Linked DNA regions of Stegostoma tigrinum. The protein of the gene in region 1 purifies or fractionates together with the protein of each later gene. This does not show direct contact. Links are inferred from orthologs where the notes say so. Each region holds a gene or a part of one and is shown in the gene's direction. Other genes may lie near its edges.

What was found.
Region 2: the proteins of eapp (region 1) and aar2 purify together in Homo sapiens (affinity purification with mass spectrometry; 4 studies listed by BioGRID and IntAct, counting the BioPlex papers as one, with this or other methods). This does not show direct contact. The link is inferred for Stegostoma tigrinum from reciprocal best matches to the Homo sapiens genes EAPP and AAR2.
Region 3: the proteins of eapp (region 1) and ecd purify together in Homo sapiens (affinity purification with mass spectrometry; 3 studies listed by BioGRID and IntAct, counting the BioPlex papers as one, with this or other methods). This does not show direct contact. The link is inferred for Stegostoma tigrinum from reciprocal best matches to the Homo sapiens genes EAPP and ECD.
Region 4: the proteins of eapp (region 1) and tssc4 purify together in Homo sapiens (affinity purification with mass spectrometry; 3 studies listed by BioGRID and IntAct, counting the BioPlex papers as one, with this or other methods). This does not show direct contact. The link is inferred for Stegostoma tigrinum from reciprocal best matches to the Homo sapiens genes EAPP and TSSC4.

The regions. Positions count from the first base shown.
Region 1 is NC_081372.1:57,947,236-57,955,218, reverse strand, and holds the start of eapp (E2F-associated phosphoprotein), read left to right. Parts: upstream 1-4,979; 5' UTR 4,980-5,107; coding exon 5,108-5,178; intron 5,179-7,983. UniProt on the Homo sapiens protein: May play an important role in the fine-tuning of both major E2F1 activities, the regulation of the cell-cycle and the induction of apoptosis. Promotes S-phase entry, and inhibits p14(ARP) expression.
Region 2 is NC_081372.1:22,483,169-22,490,613, reverse strand, and holds the start of aar2 (protein AAR2 homolog), read left to right. Parts: upstream 1-4,435; 5' UTR 4,436-4,549; intron 4,550-7,061; 5' UTR 7,062-7,070; coding exon 7,071-7,445. UniProt on the Homo sapiens protein: Component of the U5 snRNP complex that is required for spliceosome assembly and for pre-mRNA splicing.
Region 3 is NC_081390.1:21,631,329-21,639,184, forward strand, and holds the start of ecd (protein ecdysoneless homolog), read left to right. Parts: upstream 1-4,855; 5' UTR 4,856-4,975; coding exon 4,976-5,192; intron 5,193-7,742; coding exon 7,743-7,856. UniProt on the Homo sapiens protein: Regulator of p53/TP53 stability and function. Inhibits MDM2-mediated degradation of p53/TP53 possibly by cooperating in part with TXNIP. May be involved transcriptional regulation. In vitro has intrinsic transactivation activity enhanced by EP300.
Region 4 is NC_081370.1:15,501,731-15,508,763, forward strand, and holds the start of tssc4 (U5 small nuclear ribonucleoprotein TSSC4), read left to right. Parts: upstream 1-4,014; 5' UTR 4,015-4,251; exon of another isoform or gene 4,252-4,275; intron 4,276-4,321; exon of another isoform or gene 4,322-4,530; intron 4,531-7,033. Other genes in the region: slc22a18 (solute carrier family 22 member 18), read right to left, coding at 2,817-2,942, 3,715-3,822. UniProt on the Homo sapiens protein: Protein associated with the U5 snRNP, during its maturation and its post-splicing recycling and which is required for spliceosomal tri-snRNP complex assembly in the nucleus.

The DNA.
Region 1 (7,983 bases):
GTGCACCTCCACACAGACAGTCGCCCAAGGCTGGAATCGAATCCAGATCCCTGGTGCTGTGAGGCTGCAGTGCTAACCACTGAGCCACCGTGCCTCCCCTCAGGTCCTCCTTAAATCTTTCCCCTGTCACCTTAAAACTATGCCCTCTTGTTTTCAATTCCCCATCACTGGGGAAAAGACTATATGCATGCATCCTATCTATCCCCCTCATGATTTTATACACTCAGTAAGTCAGCCCTCATTCTCTGACATTCCTAGGAATAAAGTCCTATCCTGGCCAAACTCTCCCTACAACTCAGGCCTACTAGTCCTGGCAACATCCTTGTAAAGACAACAAAATGTGAGGCTGGATGAACACAGCAGGCCAAGCAGCATCCCAGGAGCACAAAAGCTGACGTTTCAGGCCCTCTGGGAGGGGTAACCGGTCTCAACTCCATGTAAGGCAGGAGGTAACGTCTCAAGGTTGCTGTCTCGGTATGGACCTTGTTGCGGATTTTGAGCATGTACAACCTAGCGACTTTGGAATTGTCCAGCGTCTGCAGTTCCCGTTATCTCTAACATCCTTGTAAATCTTCTTTGCACACTTTCCAGTTTAACACTGCCTTTCCTATAACAGGGTGACCATAAGGGCAGCCTCACCAACAACTTATACCATAGTAACATAATGTCCCAACTCCTATACTCAATGCCTCGACCGATAAAGGCCAGCATGCTAAAAGTCTTCCTCACCATCCTGTCCACCTGTGATACCACTTTCAACTTGTATTCCTAGGTCCCTCTGTTCCACAACACTCCTCAGGACTGCATTTGGTCCATATCCCTCTAAATCCTTCCCATCTGAATGTTTTGTACAGAGATAATGGGAACTGTAGATGCTGGAGAATCTGAGATAACAAAGTGTGGAGCTGGATGCATACAGCAGGCCAAGCAGCATCTTAGGAGCACACAAGAGCTGACTTTTCGGGTCTAGACCCTTCATCAGAAAAGGGGGATGGGGAGAGGATTCTGAAATAAATACGGAGAGAGTGGGAGACAGACCGAAGATGGATAGAGAAGATAGGTCGAGAGGCGAGTATGGGTGGGGAGGTAGGGAGGGGATAGGTCAGTCCAGGGAGGACGGACAGGTCAAGGGGGCAGGATAAGGTTAGTAGATAGGAAATGGAGGTGCAGCTTGAGGTGGGAGGAGGGGATAGGTGAGAGGAAGAACAGGTTAGGCAGGCGGGGACGAGCTGGGCTGGTTTTGGGATGCAGTGGGGCCAAGGGAGATTTTGAAGCTGGCGAAATCCACATTGATACCATTGGGCTGCAGGGTTCCCAAGTGGAATATGAGTTGCTGTTCCTGCAATCTATGGGTGGCATCATTATGGCACTGCAGGAGGCCCAGGATGGACATGTCGTTGAAGGAATGGAGGGGGAGTTGAAATGGTTCACAACTGGGAGGTGCAGTTGTTTATTGTGAACGAGCGTAGGTGTTCGACAAAGCGGTCCCCAAGCCTCTGCTTGGTTTCCCCAATGTAGAGAGAGCCACACCATGTACAGCGGATGCAGTATACCACATTGGCGGACGTGCAGGTGAACATCTGCTTGATGTCGAAAGTCATCTTGGGGTCTGGGATGGGGGTGAAAGAGGTGTGGGGGCAGGTGTAGCACTTCCTGCGGTTGCAGGGGGAAGTGGTGATGTGGTGGGGTTGGAGGGGATGTGGAGCGGACAAGGGAGTTGCAGAGAGAGTGGTCTCTCGTGGAGAGTGGTGAGATCGGATTGTAGATGGCAGAAGTGTCGGAGGATGATGTGTTGTATCCGGAGGTTGGTGGGGTGATATGTGAGGACTAGGGGATTCTCTTTTGGCGGTTATTGCGGGGGCGGGGGGAGGGTTGCGGTCCTTGAAGAACGAGGACATTTGGGATGTACGGGTGCGGAATGCCTCATCCTGGGACCAGATGTGGCGGAAGTGAAGGAATTGGGAATAGGGGATGGAATTTTTGCAGGAGGGTGGGTGGGAGGAGGTGTGTTCTAGGTAGCTGTAGGAGTCGGTGGGCTTGAAATGGACATTGGTTTGTAGGTGGTTGCCTGAGATAGAGGCAGAGAGGTCCAGGAAGGTGAGGGATGTGTTGGAGATGGCCCAGGTGAACTTGAGGTTGGGGTGGAAGGTGTTGGTGAAGTGGATGAACTGTTTGAGCTCCTCTTGGGAGCACGAGGCGGCGCCAATACAGTCATCAATGTAACAGAGGAGAGGTGGGGTTTGGGGCCAGTGTAGGTGCGGAAGAGGAACTGTTCCACGTAACCTACAAAGAGGCAGGCATAGCTTGGGCCCATGCGGGTACCCATGGCCACCCCCTTCGTCTGTAGGAAGTGGGAGGAATCAAAAGAGACGTTGAGGGTGAGGACGAGTTCGGTAGGTGGATGAGGGTGTCGGTGGAGGGGGACTGGTCGGGTCTCCGGGCCAGGAGGAAGCAGACGGCCTTTAGGCTATCTGCATGTGGAATGCAGGCGTATAGGAACTGGATGTCCATAGTGAAAATGTGGTGTTGGGGACCGGGGAATTGGAAGTTCTGGAGGAGATGGAGAGCGTGGGTGGTGTCATGGACGTAGGTGGGCAGTTCCTGGACCAAGGGGGAGAAAATGGAGTTGACATCAGTGGGGCAGGATGTTGTTTTTGTACCTGTCTCAACCACTTCCTCTGACATTTACGTTATATTCCATACAAGTTCTGAGGAAGGGTCACCAGACCCAAAACGCTAACTCTGTTTTCTTCTCCACAGATGCTGCCAGACCTGCTGAGCTTTTCCAGCAACTTTGTTTTTATTCCATATACGCATTTACTTTATTCCATTTAGTGAATAAATCCTAACGTGGTTTGACTTTCCAAAGTGCCACACTTCACACTTCTGTATTTTATTGCATTTGCCAATCTTCAACCCACTTCCCCACCTGATCAAGATCCCTCTGCAATTTTGATAACGTTCCTCACTATCAATGATACCTGTTATTTTTGGGTGTTGTTCTTCCTGCTCTTTCAGGCTCAATACCAACGGATGTTTGTAGCTCATATTTATTCTTTTTCTTTCTGTACCCTGTCTTTCTTTCTCTACTTCAACACTGGGTTTCTCTCCCATTTTGATGCTGGAACTCGCACCTTCTCATTTCAACACTGGGTTTCTCTTTCTTTCTCTTTTTCAATTCTGAGTTTCTGTCTTAGAACATAGAACATTGCAGGTAGAGTCCGTAATTAAGAAAGCGAATGTAATGTTGTCGTTTATCTCAAGAGGGTTGGAATATAAAAGCAGAGAAGTGCTTCTGAGGCTTTATAAGGCTCTAGTTAGGCCCCATTTAGAATACTGTGTCCAATTTGGGCCCCACACCTCAGGAAGGACATACTAGCCCTGGAGCATGTCCAGCAGAGATTCACACAGATGATCCCTGGAATGGTAGGTTTAGCGTATGATGAACGGCTAAGGATCCTGGGATTGTACTCATGAGAGTTTAGAAGGTTGAGGGGAGATCTAATAGAAACTTACAAGATAATGTATGGCTTAGAAAGGGTGGACGCTGGGAAGTTGTTTCCGTTAGGCGGGAAGACTAGGACCCGTGGGCACAGCCTTAAAATTAGAGGGGGAAAATTTAAAACTGAAATGACACAACATTTCTTCAGCCAGAGAGTGGTGGGCTTGTGGAATTCATTGCCATGGAGTGCAGTGGAGGCCGGGACGTTAGATGCCTTCAAGGCAGAGATTGATAAATTCTTGATCTCACAAGGAATCAAGAGCTACAGGGAGAGTGCAGGGAAGTGGAGTTGAAATTCCCATCAGCCATGATTTAAATGGTGGAGTGGACTTGATGGGCCGAATGGCCTTACTTCCACTCCTATATCTTATGGCCTTGTGGTCTTACGGAATGGGTGCTTCATTTTAGTGTCCTCCAGATTTAGCCTTCTGTTTAGTTCTATTCTTTTCAATTTTGGGTCTCTCTTTTTAAATATAATAAACTGTGACCCTTCGGTCTAGGCCCGAAACGTCAGCTTTTGTGCTCCTGAGATGCTGCTTGGCCTGCTGTGTTCATCCAGCCTCACATTTTATTATCTTGGAATTCTCCAGCATCTGCAGTTCCTATTATCTCTCTCTTTTTAAATGTTGGGTTTCACTATCTCTCTCCTCCCTTTCAGCTCTGGGTCCCTCTCTTTTCAATTTGGAGTTTCTCTTTTACCCTTTCAAATCTGGCTTCCTGGTTAAATGGCCAAAAACTAAGCAAACCAGTCACATAATGGCACAGCTAACTGATGATGCAGTGTTAATGTGGAAACAGCAACACATGAAGTTACAGGACAAGGATAATAAAGTGCTGAAAAGTCTGTCAAGGAATTCTTAAACGACGGCAATCAAAGTAGCATCTGCTTCTCTTACAGTCACACCTATCTGTCCCTGCACTACAAGTCAAATCTAAATTATGTAGCCTAAAATATGTGGTTGCTTCCTGGAACAGAGTATTCTGACAATTTACCTCCCCCGATACATCACATTGTGCAAGTTTCTGAATCCAGTTCCAGTGATTGTTGTGGACCACATGCTTCGGCTGAAACAGTCCACTGTTTTTTTTATATTCCATTACTGCTTCTGTACCTTCCTATCACTTTCCTGTTGTTTTTAAATAGTTTTCTGGTTAGATTCAGTAGTTAATCAGTCCACAGTTTCCCTTGTTCTTGATTCTGTTCCTCTTGAAAGTGTTACCACAGACGCAGTTTGAGATTGACAGCGCTGGTTTCATCAATGGGGCTTGGCGACGGGCAAAGGCTTAGGGCTACCAGGACAGGGAACCGGGCGAGTGGCTGGGCAGGGGCAAGACAGGGGCCAAGATCAGCACATGGATGGAGCCAGAACAGGTGGCCGTCTCACTGCAACGGACGAGGGTCAGTGGAGAGGGCGGCGTCTAGTGCAGAAAGCTCATTGCGTAATATGTCAGCGCCAAAAGTAACTCAGGCCCCTCTCCTTGCGGCGCGTTTTAGTGACGCGACCTAGGGGGTCCAACGGCAGCGTCGATAATCCCGATTCGAGTGAGGCCTTGGAGCGGGCCCGGGGCTCGGGTGAAAGGAGAGGGGCGGGCCCGGGCTCCAACATGAACCGCCAGGAGCAGGATGACCCGTATCTGGTGGAGGAACCGAGTGACCCAGAGGATCTGAGTTCCAGGTGAGGGGTGGGGAGGCTCTCAAAGCTGGGGTTTCCCAAACCCAGCGAGGTTGGTGCAGCAGGGGTCTGAGCGAACAGGCTACGCGGGTTATCGAGGCTGCTCTGCAGCCGAGGGCGAGTTCCCATCAAAATTACTGCAGTCGCTGCAACTCTGAAATGCAAACCTAGAACCTCAGCAGGACTGGCCGCATTTGTGAAGGGACTTATCGCCTCGGGTCAACATAACTTTTCGCCAGAACTGAGTAAAGATAGAAATGTAAATTTGGCTCGAAACTAAACACAGTCTCTGGACAAGGGCCCAATAACTTGGGACTGATGAGAAATTTCTTCACTTAACAGTTTATGGAATTCTGACCTGCAATGAGTTTTGGATGCTTCATCAACTTGTTGGAGGAGGTGTCTGTAGAGAGAGTTGCTATTTTGGTTATTATTTTCCTAGTTTCTTTTGACTCTGGAATGATTCCAAATGTCACCCCACTATTTTAGAAGGGAACAAGGGAGAAAACTGAACTGCAGACCTGTCAGCTTTGTATCAGTGGTAGGTAAATACTAGAATCTGTCATTAGGGATGGGATTTATTAAATAGACACCTGATTGATAATGAGAGATAATGGGAACTGCAGATGCTGGAGAATTCCAAGATAATAAAATGTGAGGCTGGATGAACACAGCAGGCCAAGCAGCATCTCAGGAGCACCTGAGATGCTGCTTGGCCTGCTGTGTTCATCCAGCCTCACATTTTATTAACCTGATTGATAATGATTAGGTTGGGCAATAGGTTAGTTAGAAAAGTTAAAGCACTTGGGATAGGAAGTAACTACTAGCATAGATTAATGACTAAAAGGAAGAAAAGAGAGTAAATCAAGTCATTCTCTCATTGGTAGCTTATGACTAGTAGGGTTACCACCAGGATCAGTACTTGGGCCTGAGCTTATAATATATATCAATGATGTAGAGTTGGTAACCAAAGGGAATATTTCCAAAATTACAGACGATGCAAAGCTAAGGTGGAATGTTTATTGTGAGTTGATTTCAGGAGGATTTGCACAATGGGCTAATCATGGCACATGGGATGTAATGTGGAAAAATGTAAGGTTTTCCATTTTGGTGGGTGTAACAGTCTATTTGTTAAACGGTAAGAGAGTGGAAAGTGTAAGTGTACAAATGGATTAGGAACCCTTATTGATAAATCAGTAAAAGCTAGCCTGTAGATGCAGTGAGTTATTAGCAAGGCTAGTAAAGTTTGTGGGAGTGTAGGAATAGTGAAGTGTTGGTTTAATTGTGGAGGAGCTTGGTTAGATCAAACCTGGGGTACTTATCACAGGAAAGATAATATTGCCATCGTGTGCAACAAAAAAATCCACCAAGACTTACTCCTGGGATGATCATGCAATATATTAATGATTCATATTAACAATATATATATTAATGATTTAGAGAGGAAGTTGTCAAATCTCCAAGTTTGCAGATGACACAAAGCTAGATTGTAGAGTATGATGTGAGAAGCATGTAGAGATGCTTCAATGTGTTTTGGGCAAATGTAGTAGAATGTGGGCCAATAAGTTATCACTTTGATAGCAAAAACAGGAAGGGTAGATTATTATCTGAATGGTGATGAATTGGCGAAGTGGGTAAACTCTGTACTTGTACACCAATCACTGAAACTAAGAATGCAGTGAAGAAGGCAAATGGTATGTTGGCCTTCATTGTGAGAACAGTCAAGTATGGAACCACGCATGTCTTTCTGCAAATGTACAGAACATTGGTAAGACAACACAAGGAGTATTGTGTGCAGTTTTATCTCCTTATCTGACGAAGGATGTTCTGGCTGTTGAGGTACTGCAAAGAAGGCTCATTCCTGGGATGGCAGGACTGACATACAGGGAGAGACTGGATTGGTTAGGATTATAGTCACTACAATGAGGGATCATCTAGAAAAATATAAAAATCTGACAGGATTATACAGGGCAGATACAGGAAGGATGTTCTTGTTGACCAGAGCATCCAGGGAGTCACTAGTTGAGAATACAGCGTAAGACATTTAGGACTGAGACCAGATGAAGTCTTCACCCAGAGAGTGGTCAGCCTGTGGAATTCTGTCTCCGAAGACAGTTAAGACCAAAACATCGAAAACCTTCAAGACAGATATAGGTATAGTTCTTAGGACTAAAGGGATCAGAGTATGAAAAGAAAGTGGGAACAAGGTACTGAAGCAATCAGCCAAGATTATACTGATTGGAGCAGGTTTGAAAGGCTGAATGGGCTGCACCTATATTTTGTTTCTGTGAAATGAGATTGGTAAACTGGACTACACATATATTTAAGATTGGGACAGACTTAATTTAGATTTCTTGGAGAGTTAAGTGTTATGGGTGGTGGATGAGACAGTGGGGTTGAGTAGAAGGTAAGCCACAATCATATTGAATAGTTGAGCAGGCTTGAAAGGTTATGCAGTTTATTCCTTTGCCTGGTATAAGGAAGGATAATAAACATGTGACCCTGTATAAGCTGCGCAGATGTTTTTGAAATTGTTATCCAGTTCGCTTTGGAAAAGTACCATTTGAAAATGTTTCCAGCATCCTCAGGCAAAGTATTCCAAACCAGAATAATGTGCTGTGTTGGAGGAATGAAATTCATTGTTTCATGTCTGATTCTTCAATTTTGGTATTGTGCATTTTGATTACTGACCATTCTGCCAAAAATAGCATCTATTTATTTACACTTTTCAAAATCCTTGAATTTGAGCATCTCCCCAATTGCATTATGGAGAAAATCTACAGGTCCCCAGTTGACCATGTAACTAAA
Region 2 (7,445 bases), about 35 Mb from region 1:
ATAGGTTGCCCAACAGAGAGGAACGGCCAATAGTATGTACATCCAGGACTTTGGCTAATGTAGAGCTTAAATATGCCCAACTAGAGAAGGAAGCTTTGGCGGACATACTTGGTGTCAGGAAGATCCACCAATACCTTTACTGAAGTAAGGTTCTAATAATAATAGACCACAAACCCCTGGTAGGTCTAACAAACAGGACAAGGCAGTGCCGCCCAAAGCTTCAGGCTGAATTCGGCATTAGGCTCTAATACTAAGTGCATATAATTACAAGTTGGAACACTGACCAGGAGGCGAAGTTGCAAATGCGGGTGCATTGAGCTGCCTCCCACTGGCAGATATATTAGCCTGTTTTAATACCAAACTGTTCCTGTTCTATTTCATTATAAGTCTACCCCTCAGGCAACTACAGTGATAGCTCCAGCAGAGTTGCAAATGGGAAAATGACTCCATACCAGGTTAAATTTGATTCACCCGGATCCGGGAGGGAGGGTGAAATGACATCAGGAATGTTAGCGCTGGACACATGACTCTGCTAAGCGAGAGAGGAAGTTTACCTCAGGTGATGAAGTTTGGAGTAGGAGATACAGGATTGGTCCTGCACTGGTAAGCGGCATGGTCGATGCAAGGTCAGGTCCAGTGATGTGTAAACTTTGGGCAGGTGCAACAGTCCTGAACAAACATATGGGGACTGTATGAAAGCTGCAAACTCAAAAACGGAGCAAGATGTGCCTGCCTCCTGGGAACAGGCAGAAAGGCTGGAGGAACCCACAGATTCTCCCTGTCCATCAAGCATTGAAGATTCTTCGGAATCTGAGATGGATAAGGTGGATATCACCACCTCAAAGTCTTTGCTGCCTCAATAGGAGAGTAAATTTCTTCCAAGGTTCTCCAGGCCCAAGAGGCGTGTTACTGTGCATCACATGCCACCTGTATCTAAGACAGAGTCAGTGGAACCTGACCTGGCGCTAAAATGCCTCAGGAGAAGCTACAAAAAAATGAACTGGCCTATGTCCTTAGATTCAGAGGGGGAGGGATACAGTGATCCCAACAAGAGGTGCTCTAATTTTACAAATGCAGGTGCAATCCTCCACCTAGTGGTGGCAGTGCCACAAATACAGCCTTTGCACCCAAGATGGTTTTATTTTAAAATCAACCGGTTTGGATGTTTTATGTTAACAAAGTGTGAAGCTGAATGAACACAGCAGGCCAAGCAGCATCTCAGGAGCACAAACGCTGACGTTTCGGGCCTAGACCCTTCTGAAACGTCAGCTTTTGTGCTCCTGAGATGCTGCTTGGCCTGCTGTGTTCATCCAGCTTCACACTTTGTTATCTTGGATTCTCCAGCATTTGCAGTTCCCACTATCTCTGGATGTTTTATGAGACGCCTTTTGTGGTAGGTGTTGAAATCGGACCTTCTGGGCATAGTTATACGGATACTACCAATGTACCACAAGAGACCCTCTAAGATAGTTTATGTTATGCTTGCCTTGTATTCAGACTACTCAAGCAAATGACCGGGAGCACTGGCAACATAAGTGCTACCAGCTTTGCACTGCTGATAACAGCATCCATCCCAATACATTAAAGAGATATTAGGGATTATTACAGGTTCATGAAAATGTTTCATAAGGCTCTTTTATTTGAGCTTGATTCTCCCTTTCATTACACAAAACATCTATGTTGGGGTATATAACAAATTGTGGACATAATGGTTTATTAAAATTAAGATTTTCCATTAATCCATTGAAGTCTATTAATACTGCATGCTTTATTTGGACCAAACAATAATTGTGACATAATTGTTAATTGTCCTGAATAAGGCATTAATACTTCAGCTATTCTGTGTTAATGCCAATTGTTAAATAAACCAATTAAAGACAGGCCATAATGCAAAAAATAAACTGCCCAAGATTATTTAGAAAATTTGAAAAAAACAATAAGATAGTAAGAGTGAATATCTTTTCAAATGTTTACTTTGTTCTTCTGAAATCTTGAAATCAATCCTGTGCAAAGTCCTGACATGTTGTTGAGAAAGCTGAAATGCATGTTCACATTACAAACCAGTTAAGACCTGCAAGAACACAAAGTGGAATTTCAGCTGAAGAACTGAAGATGATGGGGCAGAAATTGTCGTGTCAGTGTCGATTGGATTCAGAGATAGTAGGAACTGCAGATGCTGGAGAATCTGAGATAACAAGGTGTAGAACTGGATGAACACAGCAGGCCAAGCAGCATCAGAGGAGCGGGAAAGCTGACGTTTCGGGTCAACACCCTTCTTCAGAAATGGGGGAGTGGAAGGGAGTTCTGAAATAAATAGGGAGAGAGGGGGAGGTGGATAGAAAATGGATAGAGGAGAAAATAGGTGGAGAGGAGACAGACAGGTCAAAGATGCAGGGATGGAGGCAGTAAAGGTGACTGTCGATGGGGAGTTAGGGAGGGGAAAGGGCAGTCCAGGGTGGACGGACAGGTCAAGGGGTCAGGATGAGATTAGTAGGTAGGAGATGGGGGTGGGGCTTGAGCTGGGAGGAGGGGATAGGTGCGAGGAAGAACAGGTTAGGGAGGTGGGGACAAGCTGGGCTGGTTTTGGGATGCGATAGGAGAAGGGGAGATTTTGAAGCTTGTGAAGTCCACATTGATACCATTGAGCTTCAGGGGTTCCAAGTGGAATATGAGTTGCTCTTCCTGCAATTGTTGTGGCATTGCAGGAGGCCCAGGATGGACATGTGGTTTGAGAAGTGGGAGGGGGAAGAGTTGAAATGGTTTGTGACTGGCAGGTGCAGTTGTTTAGTGTGAACCGAGCGTAGGTGCTCTGCAAAGCAGTCCCTAAGCCTCTGTTTGGTTTTCCTGTTGTAGAGGAGGCCACAACGGGTACAGGAGATGCAATATACCACATTGGCAGATGTGCAGGTGAACATCTGCTTGATGTGGGAAGTCTGCTTGGGGCCTGGGACGGGGGGTGAGGGGGGAGGTGTAGCACTTCTTGCGGTTGCAGAGAATAGTGCCGTGTGTGGTGGGGGTGGAGGGGAGTGTGTAGAGGACAAGGGAGTCACGGAGAGAGTGGTCTCTCCGGAAAGCAGGTAAGGGTAGGGAGGGAAAAATGTCTTTGGTGATGGGGTCGGATTGCAAATGGCGGATGTGTTGGAGGATGATGCCTGAAACGTCAGCCTTCCTGATCCTCTAATACTGCTTGGCCTGCTGTGTTCATCCAGCTCTACACCTTGTTATCCTTGATTGGATTCAATGTTGGTGCAGCATGCTGACCAACAGTATACTGACATTCTCCATACATTGATGTAGGGTCAGACATGATCAGCCACTCTAGGATGGACAAGACCTATGGAAGATCAAAAGCTAGTCAGGTTGTGCAAACAGCAACACCAGTAAAGTGGTAGGTTCTTTGAAAGGCCCTAACAGAGAACACAATCTATTTTGATTTTTTGCAGCAAATGGGTCACAAGTTTTCATTTGGACATATTCAGGTGATTTGTCTAGAATTTTCCTATCATTAATGCCCGCCACAATCTGGCACTCTCAATAATTTAACAACTGCGGTGTCGAGATTGGATTAAAGCAATATCCCAAGCATTTTATTTATTACTGTCACATGGACCTGATTACAGTGAAAAGATTTGTTTTGCAAGCAGTACAGGCAGATCGTAACAAAGAAGGACAAATGAATCATAGGGCGCTTAGAGTTACAACTGCTCAAAGGTGCACAAAAGTAAGGACAACATTAGATTTGAAATTAAAGAGGTCCATTCAGCAGTCAAATACCAGCAGGGCTGAAGATATTCTTTAATCTGCTGTGTGTGTTCGGGGTTCTGTATCTTCTGCCTGAAGGAAGAGCTTAGCTCTGAGGAGCTTACAATATAGGGACAATCAACAGGGAAAATAGGCACGTCTATGAAGTTTGTCGGTATCAGAATTGGGAGGAAGAGCTGGTTTAAGTAAAGATCGGTGAGTTACAAGTGCAGGCTGTCATGTGGAATCGTGGTGTTGTGGCAGTAACAGTGACCTGGCAGAAGGAAGGCCAGGACTGTGTGTTAAATATCCTGGATACAGGCTGTTGAGGTGTTACATTAAAGGAGTTTTTCAACCATTATGCTGCAATATTCTTCTTCCTGAGAAGTGTATTCGTTATTTATTCAATATTACCATATTACCTTCAAATAAAAGACTTAGTGCAATAATACTTTGCCTGGAGAGAACTTTGAACGAGTGGTTTCCATGGGGGGAAGATAATAAAACAAAAAAAAACTTTATTTCCATTCAATAGATTAAATAGTTTGGTTTACAATGGGGTTAAGGCGCTGAATAGAACATCACCTTCATTCCTTGTAGAAACGAATTGACTTGGAAGGTCTGCATGAGCTGAGAGTGAGGGCAGTGTCAGGGGCGGAACCATAAGCTCAGGGACCGGTTTGTGCTGGTGCGGCTGGGGACGGTTACATTGACGGACCGGAAGGGGTCCGGTATGTATTTGGTGTTGCTCCAGCAGTCTGCCGGTTGGTATCGCAGGGAATTAAAGCTCAGGGCTGAATGAACGAAGGTGAATGGGGTTCAAATTCTCTCTCTCTCTCTCTCTCTCTCTCTCTCTGTCTGTCTGTCTGTCTGTCTGTCTGTCTGTGGGTGAGGGGGGAAAGAATGTGAGAGGTGGGTGTGAGGGAGGGGAGGCGCCTAACATCAACTGCATTAGACACAGCTTTCACTAAACCTTTACAGCATAATAGACTGTAATAAAGGTCATAAATAGTGACTTTAAGAAAAACACAAGAAATTCATAACAATTCGTACAGCTCCAGATTATCTTCTTGTTACTAGATTGAGGGATTTAGTTTTAATTGCAAACTCAGATTCAGCATAAATGTCTGAGCTAATCTATTCTTTCCTTTTCCCAGACTCTAGCCAGTGATGATAGTGGGAGTATCCAGTCAGTTGTTGGACATGTTCAGTCTTATTCATCCTAACAATATGGCCAAAATATTTTAATTTGTTCCCTTAAACCCCCTGCTTTAGTTTGAATTTTTAAATTACTGTATTTCTTTTAAATTGCTGTTATTTTTAGGGCTTGCCACATTGTGAATAATATCGTGAGTCAGGTCTTATTTGATAGCGTTAGAAATGCAGGTCCATTTAAGGGGCAAACTGAAATAACTCTAGAGTACATTGAGACAGTAGGTGTTCTTTGTCTTTAAGAGCTTAGTTCTTTTAGCCTCTCGGTCTTTCTCTACCAGTCTCACCTTTGGTGGTCCACATTGAATGAATAACTGGAAACAAGGATAACTTAGGGATGGTGGATATTGGGTGGAAGGTCTCACAGGTGATTTGGTGGTGGGAAAGAAAAACATTCAGTTGTCTGTGATAATTCCAGATATTAAAAGAAGAGCTTGGATTCTTATTACGGGTCCTGTGTTCAAAGTGTAGTGTCTGTATCTCTGGGCTAGGTGGCTTGGGTTCAAGGCTCAACTGCCTGAGATGTGTCATTAACATATCTGAACAGATTGATTTTTTTTCAACAAAAAGCTTGGTTTTTCATACCTTATGGAGAAAAGGCAGAAAAGTGGAGCTGAGAATTATCAGATCAGCCATGGTCTTGTTGAATGATGGTGCAGACTTGATGGGCTGAATGGCCTACTTCTCCTTCATGTTATCATCTTAAAGTGGATAGTTGGTTTCTGGATAAAGAACTGTTGGTGTTAAACTATAGGTTTGTAATTAAATGCTTGCACAACTATGATAGGTTTTTGCTACCTAATTCAACATCAGGATATTTTTCTGTGGAATTTTATTGCCTTTGGCTTGGCAAAATCTACTACTTGTATGCCCTGTAGCACTTCATAAAGTCTTTGATAATTTGGTTGTGTGTTTTAGCAGTTGCGTTTATGCTTTCTTAATAATATCAATGAATGTATGTATTCTGTTTTCATGGTTGCAATTTACCTGACCTTTCTCAGCAAACTGCCTGAGAGGAATAAACATGCAAGTGACTATGGTCTTTCCTAGTTAGTTAATTGCATAAGTACTCTAAGCAAGTAGCTAGCCATTTGTTGAAATGATTTTGGCATCAGTGAGCAGTAGCAATTTTGATAGAACTTTTAACCAAAGTATAATGTTTTTTTCACAGTCTATGTAGTTCATTTATCTTCACAAAAATGTCGGTTTTAATTTATTGATGATCTTCATTCTTGTGTAAAAGAACAGATTGAAGCATGTCAGATTGCTTAATGCCTCTGCCTGTAAAGTTATTCAGAATGTTGTCCCTAGGAATTGAATCACATCTTACACGCACATGCAGCCTTTGTGCAGTTATGCTGCAGCATCTTAGTGCTGATAGAGCTATGGATTCAAAACAACTTGTTAAGGAATTTGAAATGGGATCAGCTTTGGCCTAACCAAAGGCATTGTTTGATTCATTAAGTTTTCAAAGGATGCTTTAAAGATGAAAGGTGGGAATAATTGAGACTGATTTAGAAAAAGAATCTGAATGGCAAAGGAGTTTCAGAGTAAACAAAAGCCATCACTGATCTACTGTGAGGAGTGTGGGGAATGAACAAGAATCTAGGTAGGGAGCAAATGATGTGGGCAAGGATATTGAATTAGTGGATATTTCCCAAGCAGGCTGGAGGAAAGCTTTGGAAGAATTTGATAAAGGGACAAAATCCATTAGGTAAGATAGAAAGTGGCAGGGATCTGGTGAGGTTAAAATGGATAAGATGCTATTTATGTGGCGCAGGAGCTAATTTATACTAGATTAATTTTGTGAAGAGAGGCCAGCTGAAAGAAATTCATTTTTGAGGTAACCATGTGTGAATGAAGGTTGTGGAACAAAATGGGTAGGATTACTTTAAAGTGTGGAATTGAGAATTATGAAAATAAAAAATTGCCTAAAGCAAAATTAATGCCAGCTCATAATAGTGGTAACTTAAGGTGCTATGTAACAAGCAATATTGAATGCCGTTAATGGCCGTAGTTCTCTATAATGTAAGATCTTAGTAGTTTACGTAAATTGGATGTTGATGTGATGTTTAACTAAGTTCTTCTCTGTCTGTTTTGGAATACAGGCCCAAAATATGGCTACTGTGGAAATGGATCAAGAACTGGCGAAAAAACTGTTCTTTGAAGGAGGCACGCTTATAATACTTGGTGTTCCTGAGGGCACAGAATTTGGCATTGATTATAATTGTTGGCAAGTGGGCCCCAAATTTAAAGGAGTGAAGATGATCCCACCGGGAATCCATTTTATGCATTGCAGCCCTGTGAACAGCAGAGATATTCGGATAACAGGACCACGCACGGGTTGTTTCTTTCATATAAAACAGAAGGAAGTTCTAGTGAAGCGATGGGACAAGAAGGAAGAAGAAATAGTTTCAGTTGCAGTTTCGGAAGAAGAAAGAGAGCAGATAAGAGAGAATCTGACTGAACTGGACAAATGTTTAGGACCATAT
Region 3 (7,856 bases), on another chromosome or scaffold:
TAAACAGGCTCACATTATTTTAAAATAGAACCATTGGACCGTATCGGAGACTTTGATGTCTACAGTTTTGTTCATGAGTTCAGACACACTGTCAGTTCAAACATTTGCATTAGAGATTCATTTTGCAGTAGTTTATGAATAAATGAAAACTTTGTGTCCCAACTCATTGGCTGGCATATTGGTGGGGTAGTTGAAGGTCTGTCTAAGTAACAGATTATTTCCAATACATATTATAGGTAGGATTTCCAAACATTACATGAGTTACAGACTGTCTAAAACAGTGCAAGGTGAAATGTAGCCCAAATACATTAAATGGTAGTCCATGTCACTTCAGAAAGCAATTTTCTGCTCTAAGAAATCACTGCTAGCTAGGTAAATGCTCCACATAGATATTACCTTAAATAGATGTTATGGTTAAAATGCACTGGTGAACACCTTCTTACCTTGTAGCAATATTCAGACAAGTAGAGAACGCTGACATTGTGTTGGCTCAAGGTGTTATGCAGAGTAATCAAGGCTTGATTGATCTGTAGTTCTGCGGCTACCAGGAAGTAAAAGAAACGCAAAGTGTCACTTCTCCTTTCGTTGTGTTTCCATTTCCTTTCATCAGCATGTCATCCTTCAGCTGGAAGCTAGGGAAGACCAGTCTTAACCATGGATTCTTACAGCAGACAACATGCAAGATTCAAACATATCAAGGTGAAAGCTGTATTCATGTTCTCTTTGCCCTCAGTCTAAGGTGGCCCAGTTTTGTTTCATTATATAAAGATATTGAACTTTAATTCCCCAGTGTGATCTCAGCTATAAATTAAAATAGAATAATCAGGAGTAGACAACAGGTCTTTCAGTGTTCTTAAGAACAGAAGACATTTTCTTATCCCCACAACTGTAGAATGGGCAATAAGTAAGCTATATTTTACATTAGTGCATAAAGGAGTAGAAGGGAGTATGTGCAAGAGCAAAGAGTCAATATTACTTTGTGTTTTTTGTTATGCACTGTTTACAAGGGTGACCATTAGTTCACAGTCTGCTTGAAATCTTTCGAACTTAAAAATCTGCAACCTTCAAAATATTGCACAAGGCGGCGAACAGAATCTGCTGCATCAGGCAGAATTGACTCTTTGATACAATTACTAGTGGCTTAAAATGGAGACAGTAAATACATTTGAGCCATAACATTTCAAACACGTATAATTATTATTGCGACCATTATTCCTGTCTCCCTCAATGCTGACTCTACCTCTTCCATACTATGATTTCTTAACCCAAGGAATCGCGTCCCTTTCTCTGTTCCAACAATTCTCTGAACTCCAATAACAACTATATTATATAAAACAACTTTTAGCTTATACAGACGCAAATTATTTAAATGCATTGTCCCTTTAAATAGCCCATTACAAATCCATTCGAAAATCTCTTACACCAGCAATAATGGTAACCAAACCCATTGTGAGGCAGAAGGGAGCTGTTTCAGCCCTTAGTGTCAATAACATTCTCAAACCTAAATGTCAGGCTTTGCTCAGATGGTAAGCACTATCCCTTTAATATTGAGATAAGAAGCTCAAGCCGCATTAAACAGTCCAATGTAGTTCAATTGCTGTTCGATTTTTAAAAAAGCTACTTGACAAAAGATAACACATGATCTAATCTTTATTTACTCAATCTAACACTTATTTACAGCATGAAAAAGTATAAGGTCATATCTTCTAACTCAACCATACCATAGTTTAAATAGGCGCCAGTTTATATGCACAAGTGAAATAGCTACTGAGCAAGTCTACACCTCAAAAGTGGCTGTAAAACACAAACCTGAGGGGTCGAAGGTGCTGTTATTTATGTTCTAAAACTATCCATGGTCGATGTTAAAGATAAAATATTGGGGCATAATGTTTTCAAAGCAGCTACTTAGTGTGCAAGCATCTCAATAGATAATTCGAGGTATCCTGAGATTATGGAAATGTGCTATATAAATATAAATACTTTTTGTTTCTGGTTGTCAATAAGCTGGATGCACTGTTTCAGCTGCTAATTAATGCAACAATTATTTTTACCACCTACTTCAACAGTGTGCTTATCAGCAAATTTGAGAGTAGCAATGACAACATTTGTACTGTTCTTTGCTACAAAACAATGCATTTCACAGACAACCTTTACGCAAGAAGGGAAATGTAAAGTATGTTTAAATTACAGATTCAAAAAGTAAAAATCAACTATCATAGCCCATTTATCGTCCTCCAACTAACTATTTATTTTGATCTGTGGCTATTATTCCTTACATGTAGTTCATTCATCACTCCTGCTGATTTTTCTTCTTTGAGAGAAGTTTTATTAGACACTCTGTCTTTGTCAGTGTGCTTCTAATGAATTTTTACCATTTCTCCTGGAGGATTGCCAATGCTGCCCGCACAAGAATCAGTCCCTGATAATTTATTGGTGTCCTGTTACCCTAACGAGGTAAACTTTTTTTTTGCATTATGGCAGGTTAATGTTTAAGTCACATTTCACAAAAATTCAACTAGGTTCTAATCGCCTATCAGCAGCATACCACCGGAGACTTGACTCAACACCAAATCATGCTCAATCCCTGCAAGGTATAAAGACAGTAACTCATCAATAAACAACTGGCAGCAGTGGATTTGGGTTCTTCTCAATTATCACAAAATATGTGAGCATGTCATGATCCGCCTGAATGTGGAGTGATCACACACTAACATGGTTCAATTACTTAAGTGCTTGTCTCTCTGCAAAACAAAGATTTTCACACACATATATTCTAAGTAATATATTCTCTTCTCAGTTGACTAAGCCAACATGTTTTTTTCTAAGCAATCTTATAAACATTAGCTTTCAGCATTGTAGAAACTAAACAGCACACCTTGCAACATTTTGATGTTCAAGTTCAATGCCACATAACAGGCATATCCACCTTAATCCAGATAGACTAACAGGAGGCTGGAAGAACACAGCAAGCCAGGCAGCATGTGGAGGAATGGAGAAGTCAACGTTTTGGGTATTACCCTTCTTCAGGATTGGATATGGGGGTTGGAGGAGGTGCAGATAAGGGGGATGGTGATAGGGGTATGGTGGCATTAGGTAGACACTTTCCACTCCCAAACCCTCTCTGCCTTCTGCAAAGATCATTCCCTTTGCCACTTCTTAGTTCATGCCACATTCCCCACCAACCACTCCAACACCACCCACTCCCCGCCGACCCCCGTATCTTTCCCTGTAACCATAAAAGGTGCAACACCCTGCCCACATACCACATCCCTCGTCTCTATCCAGGGCCCTAAACAATCCTTCCAGGTGAGACAGTTTTCACCTGTATCACCTCCAGCCTAGTCTACCGCATCTGGTGCTCCCAATTTTGGTGAAACCAAACATAGACTCGGTGACTGTTTCACCGAGCATCTCTGCCTGGCCTGAAACGGCAAGCCTAACTTCCCAGGAACCGCCCATTTCAATCCACCCTCTTCCCCTCCGACATGTCCATCCTCAGCCTCCTCCAGTGTCGCAGTGAATCAGAGCTCAGATTAGAGGAACAACACCTTATCTTCCACCCGGCCACCCTTCAGCCCGGAAGACTTAATATTCATTCTCTAATTTCAAATAACCTTCCAACCCATCCCCAAGCCTCCTTTCCAGCCCCACTACCTCCTCTCTATTCCACATGCCAACTCTCCCTTCCAGCTACCAACCGGATTCAGCACTCCCATCAACCAACCATACCATGCCTACTACCAGTGTCCACCTATCACCACCATTCCGCTACCCTCTCACCTCCCCCCACCTTTATCTGCAGCTACCCCCACTCCCACATTCAATCCTGAAGAAGGATAATGACGAAAATGTTGACTTCTCTTTTCCTCCAGATGCTGCCTGGCTTGCTGTGTTTTTCCAGCATCTGCAGTTTGTCTCTACCTCAATCCAGGTACCCAGCTAAAATATAAACATAGTAATGGTTGTCTACAAAGGATTTGTGATTATGTTCATGTCTTTGGCTTTTATCCAGGAGAATTTCTGGTTGACAGGCCAGAGTTGCAATTTGAACATTACAATCAAATCACTGCATTCTAATTCACCATTTAGAACTCTGATGAATTTCTTACCTGAAGATGTTCCCTGGCTACATATCACCGTGACAAATGCCATAAGAACAACAGACCTTTTAGCCTCCATGTTTAACAAATGCATGAGGGTCTAAATTTTGCTCTATGCTTTAAGAGGCAAGAGCAGAGTTCAGAGATTATACATAGGAAAAGTAGATACATAGCTGCAGGTAAAACTTAAGGAAATTACTTTACACAAGTACAATAAAATAACTATTAAAATTAATAAAGGTCCAGTGGCCACACCTAGTCCATAAATAAAATGCAAATAACTAGTGGACAGGGTCTGCAGTCCTGACATTACAAATACTCCTTCCACCTATGACATGCGCTCCATCAAGAAAATGTTCAATTGGTTAATATTTCTATTGCCTGTAAATTGCCCAGAGTAAATTGATAAGCACAAGATGGTGTAGGTTGGTCGAGAACTTTGCTGCACAATGTTGCATACTGGACAGAAACAGAGACCACATCCCGACATGATGTTGTTAGGATGAGGTGAGGTTCACTTGGCGGTTGTTCCATCTCCCACACACAGCTCAGACATCCCCACCTTCTTCCTCAACAGAACTGTCCTCTCTACCGTAGTCGGCAACTGATAACAACCCGGTAAAACTTTGGTTTTATTTTTAAGCAAGGTTTAAGACTAAAACATCACGTTACTTAATTTGAACAACATCGCGACGTCAGTGACAGAGTGGCGTCACTGAGACGGACCACGTGATCGCATTCTAGAGGAAGCCATTAAGTGACGGACCCGGTCGGTGGGGGAAGCCGTTCAGTGACGTTCCAGGTCGGGGGGAAAGCCGTTAGGTGACAGACCCGGTCCCGGGTGGGAGAAGGCATTAAGTGAGGGCTGACGGGCCATGGAGTCGCTGGTAGATGAGCGGCGTCGTGACTGGCCGCAGGACACAGTCGGCTACAGGCTTTATGAGATTGGCGGCGAGGCTCTTCAGTCTGATCCCGATCCCCGGGCCCGGTTGGAGCAGCAGTTGGAGAAGATCGTCGGCAGCCTGGCCCCGCTCTGTGCCGGTTACATCTGGCACAATGAGGCCTTCAGGCTGCAATACACGCCGGCCCGGGGTGAGTACACGGCCCCCTCTGGTATCCACGCATGCCTTTCTTCCCGTGCAAGCCAGTTTGTGGCTCTGTGCCTGAGCACTTCTCGTTATATCATTGTTAGAAGTTATATCATTAAATCTGATATCAAATGGTGATAAATGTAATTAGGTCACGCTTAATGGTACAATTCCATACACGTGCTAGGATGCAGAGCCACAGAAATGTGAATTAGCGCAGTGTGTAGTTGGAGGAGCACAGCAGGCCAGGCAGGGGACTCGGAAAAAGGGTCTTTTTCTGAAGAAGGATCCCGTTCCGAAACGTCAGCTTTCCTGCTCCTCTGCTGCCTGGCCTGCTGTGCTCCTCCAACTCCACACTGTTATCTCAGACTCCAGCATCAACAGTTCTTACTATCTTTAAATGTGAATTATATTTATTATAAAATAAAGTTGCCATAGACCTACGGGACCATAGGGTGGTAGTGGTTTGAAGACAACAGATGTTGGAGATCGCAGTGGCTCAGGCAGCATCCATGGAGAGAGCAGCTAACGATTCGAGTCTCGATGACTCTTCAATGGAGCTGATGTGAAATGTGGACGGAGCTGCATTTGTGCTGTAGTTGGTTTAACCTGAGGTCACCATGCCCCATGCAAAGGGAGACATTGATATGAAGACTCCTTCGTTGTAAACTCAGCTAGTTAGGGAATTGAAGCTGTGCTGTTGGCATCGCTCAAGATAGCAAACAGCCATTTGTCCAACAGAGCTAACCAACATGAATGTCTGTAGAGGAGAGAGAGATAATGGGAACTGCAGATGCTGGAGAATTCCAAGATAATAAAATGTGAGGCTGGATGAACACAGCAGGCCAAGCAGCATCTCAGGAGCACAAAAGCTGACGTTTCGGGCCTAGACCCTTCATCAGAGAGGGGGATGGGGAGAGGGAACTGGAATAAATAGGGAGAGAGGGGGAGGTGGACTGAAGATGGAGAGAAAAGAAGATAGGTGGAGAGAGTATAGGTGGGGTCTGTACGCTCATTCACTGCCTTCAACACTTACTCCCTCTATCCACAGTGACAGCAGTACCAATGTGAATCATCTACAAGATGGACAGTATCAATCCATCTGTGCTCTCCCAATGGAACCTTCCAAACCCAGTATCTCTACTATCTGGAACCAGCGCAGTGATGAATGGTAGGGAGTCAGTTAGTTTAGCAAACCAGTAGTTTATGATGCAAAGTGAGCCAACAATGTAGGTACATTTTCAGTTTCAGCTGAGGTTGTCATTAGGTCCCAGTGGTTGGGCAATCTTATCTGAGGCATGGTGACCCTCAGGTTAATGTCACCAACAGCTCTCTCCCTCAGATGAGAGAGCACCTTACTATCCTCTGGGACTAAGATGACTTGGGAACATTGCCATTTGCAAGTTTTCTGAATTACAGTACCGTTAAGTCAAGATTGTAGAGCTTCTTCCCTAACAGCACTGTGAGAGAACTGCACAATATGGACTGCAGGTGTTCAAGGAGGCACCAACTTAGAGGGATAAGTAATAATCAGCTTTTACATCTCAAAAACATTTTCTAAAGATTCCCATAGGAAGTTAACTACAATAGAAATTCCTTCAGAATTTTCCATCTAAGCTGTCAAGTGAACAGTGTGTGGAGGTTTGGTGATGGGCGGGGACACTGTAGAGACATCACTCAATGAGAACGACCCCTGTTGTGGCAACAATCTGCGTGTCAAGCCTTTGAACATGTGATGGTTGTCTTGCTGCAGTTACTGCACAAGGAAGCTGGTGCTATCCATGGGATTACAGATGTTTTTAATTAACCTTTCAGACATGTTATGACCCGTCTGGTGCAAGTGGGTCTTGAACCTGGACTTTTTCACCCAGAGATAGGAATGTTACCACTATCCCACAAAAGCCCTAAAGTAAGTGATGACAAGTAAGTTAGGATGGCATGGTGGCTAGTGGTTAACACTGTTGCCTCACAGTGCCAGGGACCCAGGTTCGATTCCATCTTTGAACAAATGTCTGTGTGAAATTTGCACATTCTCCCTGTATCTGTATGTGTCTCATTGCTCCAGATGCTTTGGTTGCCACTTGCAGTCCAAAGATGTACAAGTTGAGTAGATTTGCCATGCTAAATTGCCCTGTAATGTCTAGGAATGTAGAGGCTAGGTGGCTTAGCTTTGATAAATGAGGAGTTACAGGGATAGGTTGGAGAGCTGCATTTGGGTGCGATGCTCTTTGATGGTTCAGCGTAGACAATGGCTGAATGGCCTCCACACTGTGGTGTCAAAGAGAGATGAAAATTCTGCCTCATTTTAGACAAATATACAACGGTACAGAGATGAAAGAAACTTATAATCTGAGCTCCTGAACTAAGCTTGTGTGACAGTGAATTGAACAATGTTCTGTCATTTGTAAATTCTTGTGATTATGCCTTTGCTATGACTTGTACTCTGATTTATCAGGAGTTGTTTTTGTTTTGAGTCTAAACCCTGCTGATCTAAGCCGATTTAATGTACCATTGCTTAAATTTTAAGAGGCTAATGCAAATCTTTTCTTTTTAGGAGATGTTCCGGCTCACGTTGGTGGTGTCACAAACTTTGGTGATAATGTGGATGACGAATGGTTGATTGTCTACCTCATTCAACAAATCACCAAAGAGTTCCCAAACTTAGTGG
Region 4 (7,033 bases), on another chromosome or scaffold:
CTGCTTCAGAGGTTACAAGAACAGAAAATACTGAAGAAACTCAGCAGGTCTTCAGTATCTGTAGAGAGAAAAAGTTAATGTTTTGAGTCCAGTGACCTTCTTCAGGACTGTTTTCACTGTCTCCTTAATATCTCACAGTTCAGTCTCTAGTAATAAGGTCTCCAGTGTCATATTTGAAATCACAGAATCTCTCTCTGTTCTGTTTATGCAGTTACTAAGGTGTCTTTCTTCATCTCTCATTCTTCTCTGCCAATTGAAGAGGTGTTTTTTTTCTTTATTCATTCACGAGATGAAGGTGTCATTGGCTAGGCAGCATTTATTGCCCAGACGGCAGTTAAGCATCAACCACTTTGCTGTGAGCCAGGAGTCACATGTAGGCCCGACCAGGTAAGGCAGTTTCCTTCCCTAAAGGACATTACCAGAAGGGCTTTTCCTGACAATTTACAATGGATCCATTGTCATCATTAGATTCTTAATTTCAGATATTTATTGACTTCAAATTCCACCATCTGCGGTGGCAGGATTTGGAATGTTTTCTGGGTCTCTGGATTAACAATCCAGCGATAACGCCACTAGGCCATCACCTCCCTGGCTTTATGATACACAGGCTACCTTTAAAGTAGAGATAACAAGGTGTAGAGCTGGATGAACGCAGCAGGCCAAGCAGCATTAGAGGAGCAGGAAGGCTGACATTTCAGGCCCAGACTCTTCTTCAGAAAAACTGCAGATACTGGAGTCAGAGATAACACTGTGGAGCTGGAGGAACTCAGCAGGCCAGGCTGCATCACAACAGCAGGACAGTTGACATTTCAGTTCAGGGCCCTTATTCTGATTTCTGAAGCCTTTCCATCTGTCATCACAAATAGTACTATTGACGTCAAAGGTGGAGGTAGTAGAGAAGTAGATAGAGCAGAAGTACTAAAAGGTCGACAGTACTCGAAGTAGAAAAGTCATCTTGGTGTGAACAACAGAAATAGCTGGAGAAACTCAGGAGGTCAGGCAGCATCTGTGGAGGAAAAAAGCAGTCAACTTTTCAGAACCAGTGACCCTTCTTTAGAACAAATTAGTCTGATCAATGGTCATTGGACTTGAAACATTAACTGCGCCTCTCTCTCAGCAGATGCTGCCAAACCTGCTAAGTTTCTCCAGTTAGTTTGGTTTATGTTTGTTTCAGAAAAGTCATTTTGTTTAGGGATCTGATTATCTGAATTACCTTAACCTCATACAAAGTGGTACAAGACAAATCAGATTAGAAGATGAATGCATGGCTCAGAGTGATGTCAGACAAGTGGGTTCTAGTCTATGGGAAGCTGGCATCAATATTGGGGAAAGTAGTATCAGCACTTCAGGGTAACCACCTGAACCATACTGGGTTGATGTTATTTGAGCCATGTAACTAGGGAAGTAGAGAGTAATTTGTGCTTAAAAAAATGATGAGGAAGGGATCAAATTTGGATATATCTAGATCAATGAACTCACGACACAAAAATGATATCAGTTTTAGAAAGGATAAATAGGCTTCTTCAAGAAATGGTAGAGACTACAAATCTAACAGTGAATTAACAGATAAGGCTGGAGATTAGAAACATGCATAAAACTAAACACACTATCTAATGCACACAATTTTCAATAAATAAACAGAAATTGAACTGCAAATGCACACAAAATAGATACAATCTGACAGCCAGAGAGATGGCTGCAAGATTGGTATCTCTGTTAGCTAATGACTCTGTTAGCTAATGATGGTAATAGACAGGGATAACCAATTTTAAGATGTGAAAATGGTTTGGCAAGAGATGAAGGATGGTAAAGGCAAGATGTCACTTGCGTGATTGTTGTACAGGCCTCCTAATATTAACTACATCAATTATGACAACTATGTCCAAAAAGCACAGCATCAATCACAGAAAATTTTAATCTAGATACAGACTAGAAAAGTCACAGAGGCAGACGAAGCCAAGAACAGGTCATAGAATATTTTAGGGGATAAATTCTTAGAACAGCACATTCTGGTACAAACCAGAGAGCAGCCGTTACTAGACCCGTTGCAGTACAGTGCCTGGAATGAGCAGGTTGTCTAATGAGAAAATATTGGCTGGCTAGGCTTTTATCCAGTGGAGTTTACAAGACAGAGGCAACTTGATCAAAACATACAAGATCTTGAAAGGACTTGACAGAGTAGTTGTAGAGATGTTTCTTCTGGTGGGAGAATCTAAAACTAGGAGTCACTGTTTAAACATAGGTGGTCAGTCAGTTAAAACAGATGAAGCATCTTTCCCCCCCAGAGTCACCAGTCTTTGGAGAGGCAATGGAAGCAGAGTCCATAAAGATTTTTAAGCCGGGGTAGGTAGAGTCTTGCTGGCAAGAGGGTGAAAGACTATCAGGGATAGGCTGGAAAGTGGATTTAAGATTGCAGTCAAATCAACTGTGATCTTATTACATGACAGAGCTGGCTCGAGAGGCTGAATGGGCTACTTTCGCTCCTGCAGGCAACTGAAAGAAACAAAATATAACTTGCAGAGATCCTCACCAGAAATTCCAATTTTCCTTGGGTATGGAGGACGTGCTAGAAGACTGGGGTGTTAAAAAGATTACGTCATTAATCAAAACATGGGAAGGGAACAGACCTGCAATGCGTGGAGCTGGATGAACACAGCAGGCCAAGCAGCATCTCAGCTTTTGTGCTGCTGGACCTGCTGTGTTCATCCAGCTCCACACTTTGTTATTTTGGATTCTCCAGCATCCGCAGTTCCCATTATCACTAGACCTGCAATGCGAGAGCCCATCGACCTAACGTTGGCAGTGTAAAAACTTACAATAAAATAAGTCTCAGAAATGACAGCGAAATTCTCAAAGAGAGCATGGCAATCGGCAAAAGAACCAAAAGGAGCACTGAAGGAAGCAACGAAATTGCCGGGCAAACTCAGTAGGTCTGGCAACATCTGTGGAGAAAAAAAGACCCGAGTTTGTTCAGCAAGTTTTTGTTTCAACATCCGCTAATTTTCTTTTTAATTTTCTCATAGAACTGAGATTTCTTTTCAACCAAGTTAACAATTGTTACTGAAAACAAAAAAAAAATTCTGGAGATTACAGCCGGTCAGGCAGAATTCGTGGCGAGATAGCAAACTAACGTTCTGATGCTGACTGACCGGCTGTGATCTCCAGCATTTTTAGCAATAATTTCCTCCCACGTTGTGTAACAATTGTTACGACCTGGAATGCCTTGTTTGGAATAATGTGCCGATGAATAATAATTTACAAGGTGCAGTTAGGGGGGGGAAGAGGAAAACTGTGTGGTAAGAAATAAAACAGGAGTGGGGAGGAGTGTGTTCAATTAGCTAGTTGCTTCAAAGAGCCGGTTCAAGAACGATAGGTCGAACAGCTTGGTTTACTACACTATTACATAAATTTCAATCACTTCTTGATGCATTACTCAATAAACTTCGCGGTACTTCCTGCTCGTGCAACGATCAGTGCCCAGGTTTAAAAACGTTATTAAATTCTTTGCAGCTTAGACAGTCCGTTCAATCATGAAACATTAAAGATAAGGAAGTTTAGAATGAGACCACACAAGGCAATTCTAACGTTTCGTGATTCAGCAGACTTCTTTAAATTGTCGTTCTTAATATGACAAGCTCCGAACATTACGCAATCGAGGGCACTCCACTACATTTTAACTTATCATTTATCAGTAAAAGGCAGATTACTACTCACAGGCACGACCCCAGTCTGGATCCAGAAGCAAGTGGAATATAGAGCCATATTGATGTGAGCTATCAGGATGACGAATCCCGATTTACTGCCTTGCTCTGGAATTGCCATGATCTCCAAGCGCAGGCAGGATTCCTATCTGTTTTGTGTGATTGCACACCTCAAACTCCTGCGCCTCTATGATCAGCCTGGCTGAATAAACATCTAATTCAAGGTGGGCGGGTGTCCGTACCGACACACAGCACCAGGTGACCGGTGGGAATCCCAACCAACAGGACAAAGCAGAGGGGCGGTACTAACCATCCCACAACGCGGGCACCCAGAAGGCTTACACAACAACTCAATATCCCTCTATCCGTCCCGCCATTGCCAACAGTAGCATGCAATATTTAGCGCGCACTTAGCGTTCCAAGTGGCCCAGCAACAAAAAATTCCGTCTTCTCCCTCACCCCGATTGGAATAAACCAATTCCTCCGCTCTTAATTCGTCAGAGCAACTGCTCATCACCGTCGCTTGGCAGACTGGCCGGTTGCTACCATGGTGAGTATTGGAGATGGTTTGCACGGTATGATGGGAATTGTAGTTCTCGAGGATGAAGCGAGAGTTGTAGGACTACAATTCCCATCACGCATCCAGGGTAGTGGCGCGCTTGTTGTCAGTGAATGGGCCTGTAGAAGGTGTTGCAGAGACCGGAGTCAGTATCTGGGAATTAGGCTATTATCGGGACTAGAGGGATATGGACTCAGAGTCACAACTGAATGAACAAAGAACCGCTGTGCTTTTGGAGCTAGACAATATCTTGTCCACCACTCGGAATTTGTGAGTATTACGGAATGATTGAAAGATGTAGCAGAACACACTGCGCAATCTTCATGCGGAGATATGAATATTTCATGAAACAAATAAGTCTGGAAATCTAGCGTAAAAAGCAACTGTTATAACTTATTACTGTAGTGCTAACTCATTTCCGTGTAGAAGACATCAGGCCATCATCGCCTTTGATCACTCTTGGTCGTTTTATCAAAGTGACATCGCTCACAACAGAGCCGAGAAGTGAGTATTAGCAGAACATGCAAATGAGAGCCGTTAGAAAGACGAACAGGGCTGCGATATTTTTTTGGTTACCCGAACCAGTTCTGCCATTCGGTAATATCTTGTTGATCTGGATGCTCAATTTCACATTCTTGCCTATGTCACATTATTCCCTTGTAGATTACTAATTTGTCTAATTTAGCCTTCAGTATACTAGTGCCCCGGCCTCCATTGCTCTATACCATAGAAAAATCCAAGCATGAGTAAACTTCACAATCCCCCCCCCCCCGCCCTTTCCAGATTCTTCCACTGAGCATTTACCCGGTCAAGCCTCCTTAGAATCTTAGATAACACGGTGTAGAGCTGGATGAACACAGCGAGCCAAGCAGCAAGGCTGACGTTTCCGGCCTAGATCCCTCAGAAAATTTTCTGAAACGTCAGTCTTCCCGTTCCTCTGATGCTGCTTGGCCTGCTGTGATCATCCAGCTCTACACCTTGTTATCTCAGATTCTCCAGCATCTGCAGTTCCTACTATCTCCTTAGAATCTTCACGTGTTTCAATAAAGTTGCCAATAACTAAAGGCCCAAGTACTACACCATTCTGTGATAGAACTCTTTCATTCTTGGGAATCAGCCCTGGTGCACAAATGCAGAACTCTAATAATGTGACCTGCCTGTGACCTTCTAAATGTTCCATTACTGTTTTAATGCCAAATTTGGTTGAATTTTATCAGGCTGTGATGAGATCTTTCTTGGAATCGGGTGAGATTTTGAGGGCCGTCTCAATGTTAAGGTCACTGCATCTTGTACAGTCTTGTCAAACAACATGGTGAAATTATTTAAATCATTTATCAATAGCAATGAGTTGCAATCTTACCAGACAAACTAGCTGTCATGAAAAGTCGACCAGAGTAGGTTTAGATGGCTTCAGTTCATTACTTGCTGCAAAAGACCTATGTTTTGCCCATAGAAAAACTGTACCTTAGGACACAATTCACCAATACCACCCTTATGTACCCTTCCATCGTGTACAGTAGATCTTGACTTTCAGGGTGCCATTGCCACCATCCTGGCATTCTCAAATGCAGGTTTATCTACCAGGACACACTGGCAGCACTGTACACCTATATTGGATGCAGGTACCTCTGAGAGACAGGAACCCATTCCGTGCTGTAGACTAAACTATCGTCCATGGCTGCTCCCTTGCTTCCTTCACGTGCAATCACCCTGGTCCCTACTGGCATTCCTTGTCTTACTGTACAGTGCCTTGAATTGACAGCTGACACAGTCTCACAACCAGTCAGGTGGCCATGCTGTGCAGCAGTCCTCAGTCAAGGGTGTCTGCTAAGTGTAAGGTAGTGAAGAACAAAGCACCACACTTACCCTGTCAGAGCAGAGGAGATTGTTCACCTTCCGGCAGCACTGTAGCCAGTCCTGCTTATTTTGGAGAAAGCATTGACTATCTGGTGATCTCTGACCATTCTGGCATGGTGTGGTGGTGTGGCCTCTTCGGCTGGTCACCTGGGAATAGGACTGCTGTTCTGTTGACCATTCAATCTACAAAGACCCCCAGGTTTCTCTCAGAAGGGTGGCCAGCCTCCCTCTCTCTGACATTTTTCCTGACTTCAATGACTGACAGGATAGCTTTGGAAAATGGAGCAACCACAAGGGATGCTAGTCTTAGGGAGGATCTCCATGGAACAGCCCGTGGTGAGATGGGATGGATTCTGACAGGATTTTTGCTGTGATGGTTGAAATGCCAATTAACATGTTAAGTTTAGTACAATTTAATGAGAAAACTCACTTGGTTTTGCTGCAAGAATAACCCGGCCAAACTTGATACAACTTGAACTTAGACATAAAAACCATGAGGTTCAACTTCAGAAGATGTAGGATCAGCAACAGGCTATTTAGAACATTTGGTCTTCTTCCTCGACATAAATCCCTGATGTGATAATCAACCCCACTTAGCTCTATTTTCTCACATTATCCTCACAATTCTTGACTTCCTTACTGAAGAGAAATCTGCCTATCTCAGCCATGAACATAGTTAACAACATAGCCTCCATTGTCCTCTGCAGTAAAGAATTCCATTGGTTCACTATCCTTTGAGAGAAATAGTTTCTCATCATCTGTCTTAAGTGGGGATCCCATTACTCTGAGATTATGCCCCCTAGTCCCACACTCTTCCCACAAGGAGAAACAGCCTCTCATGCACCATGTGACGTTCCCTAAGAATATTGTGTTTCAAAAAGGTGTCCTCTCATTCTTCTAAATTCAAATGGGTACA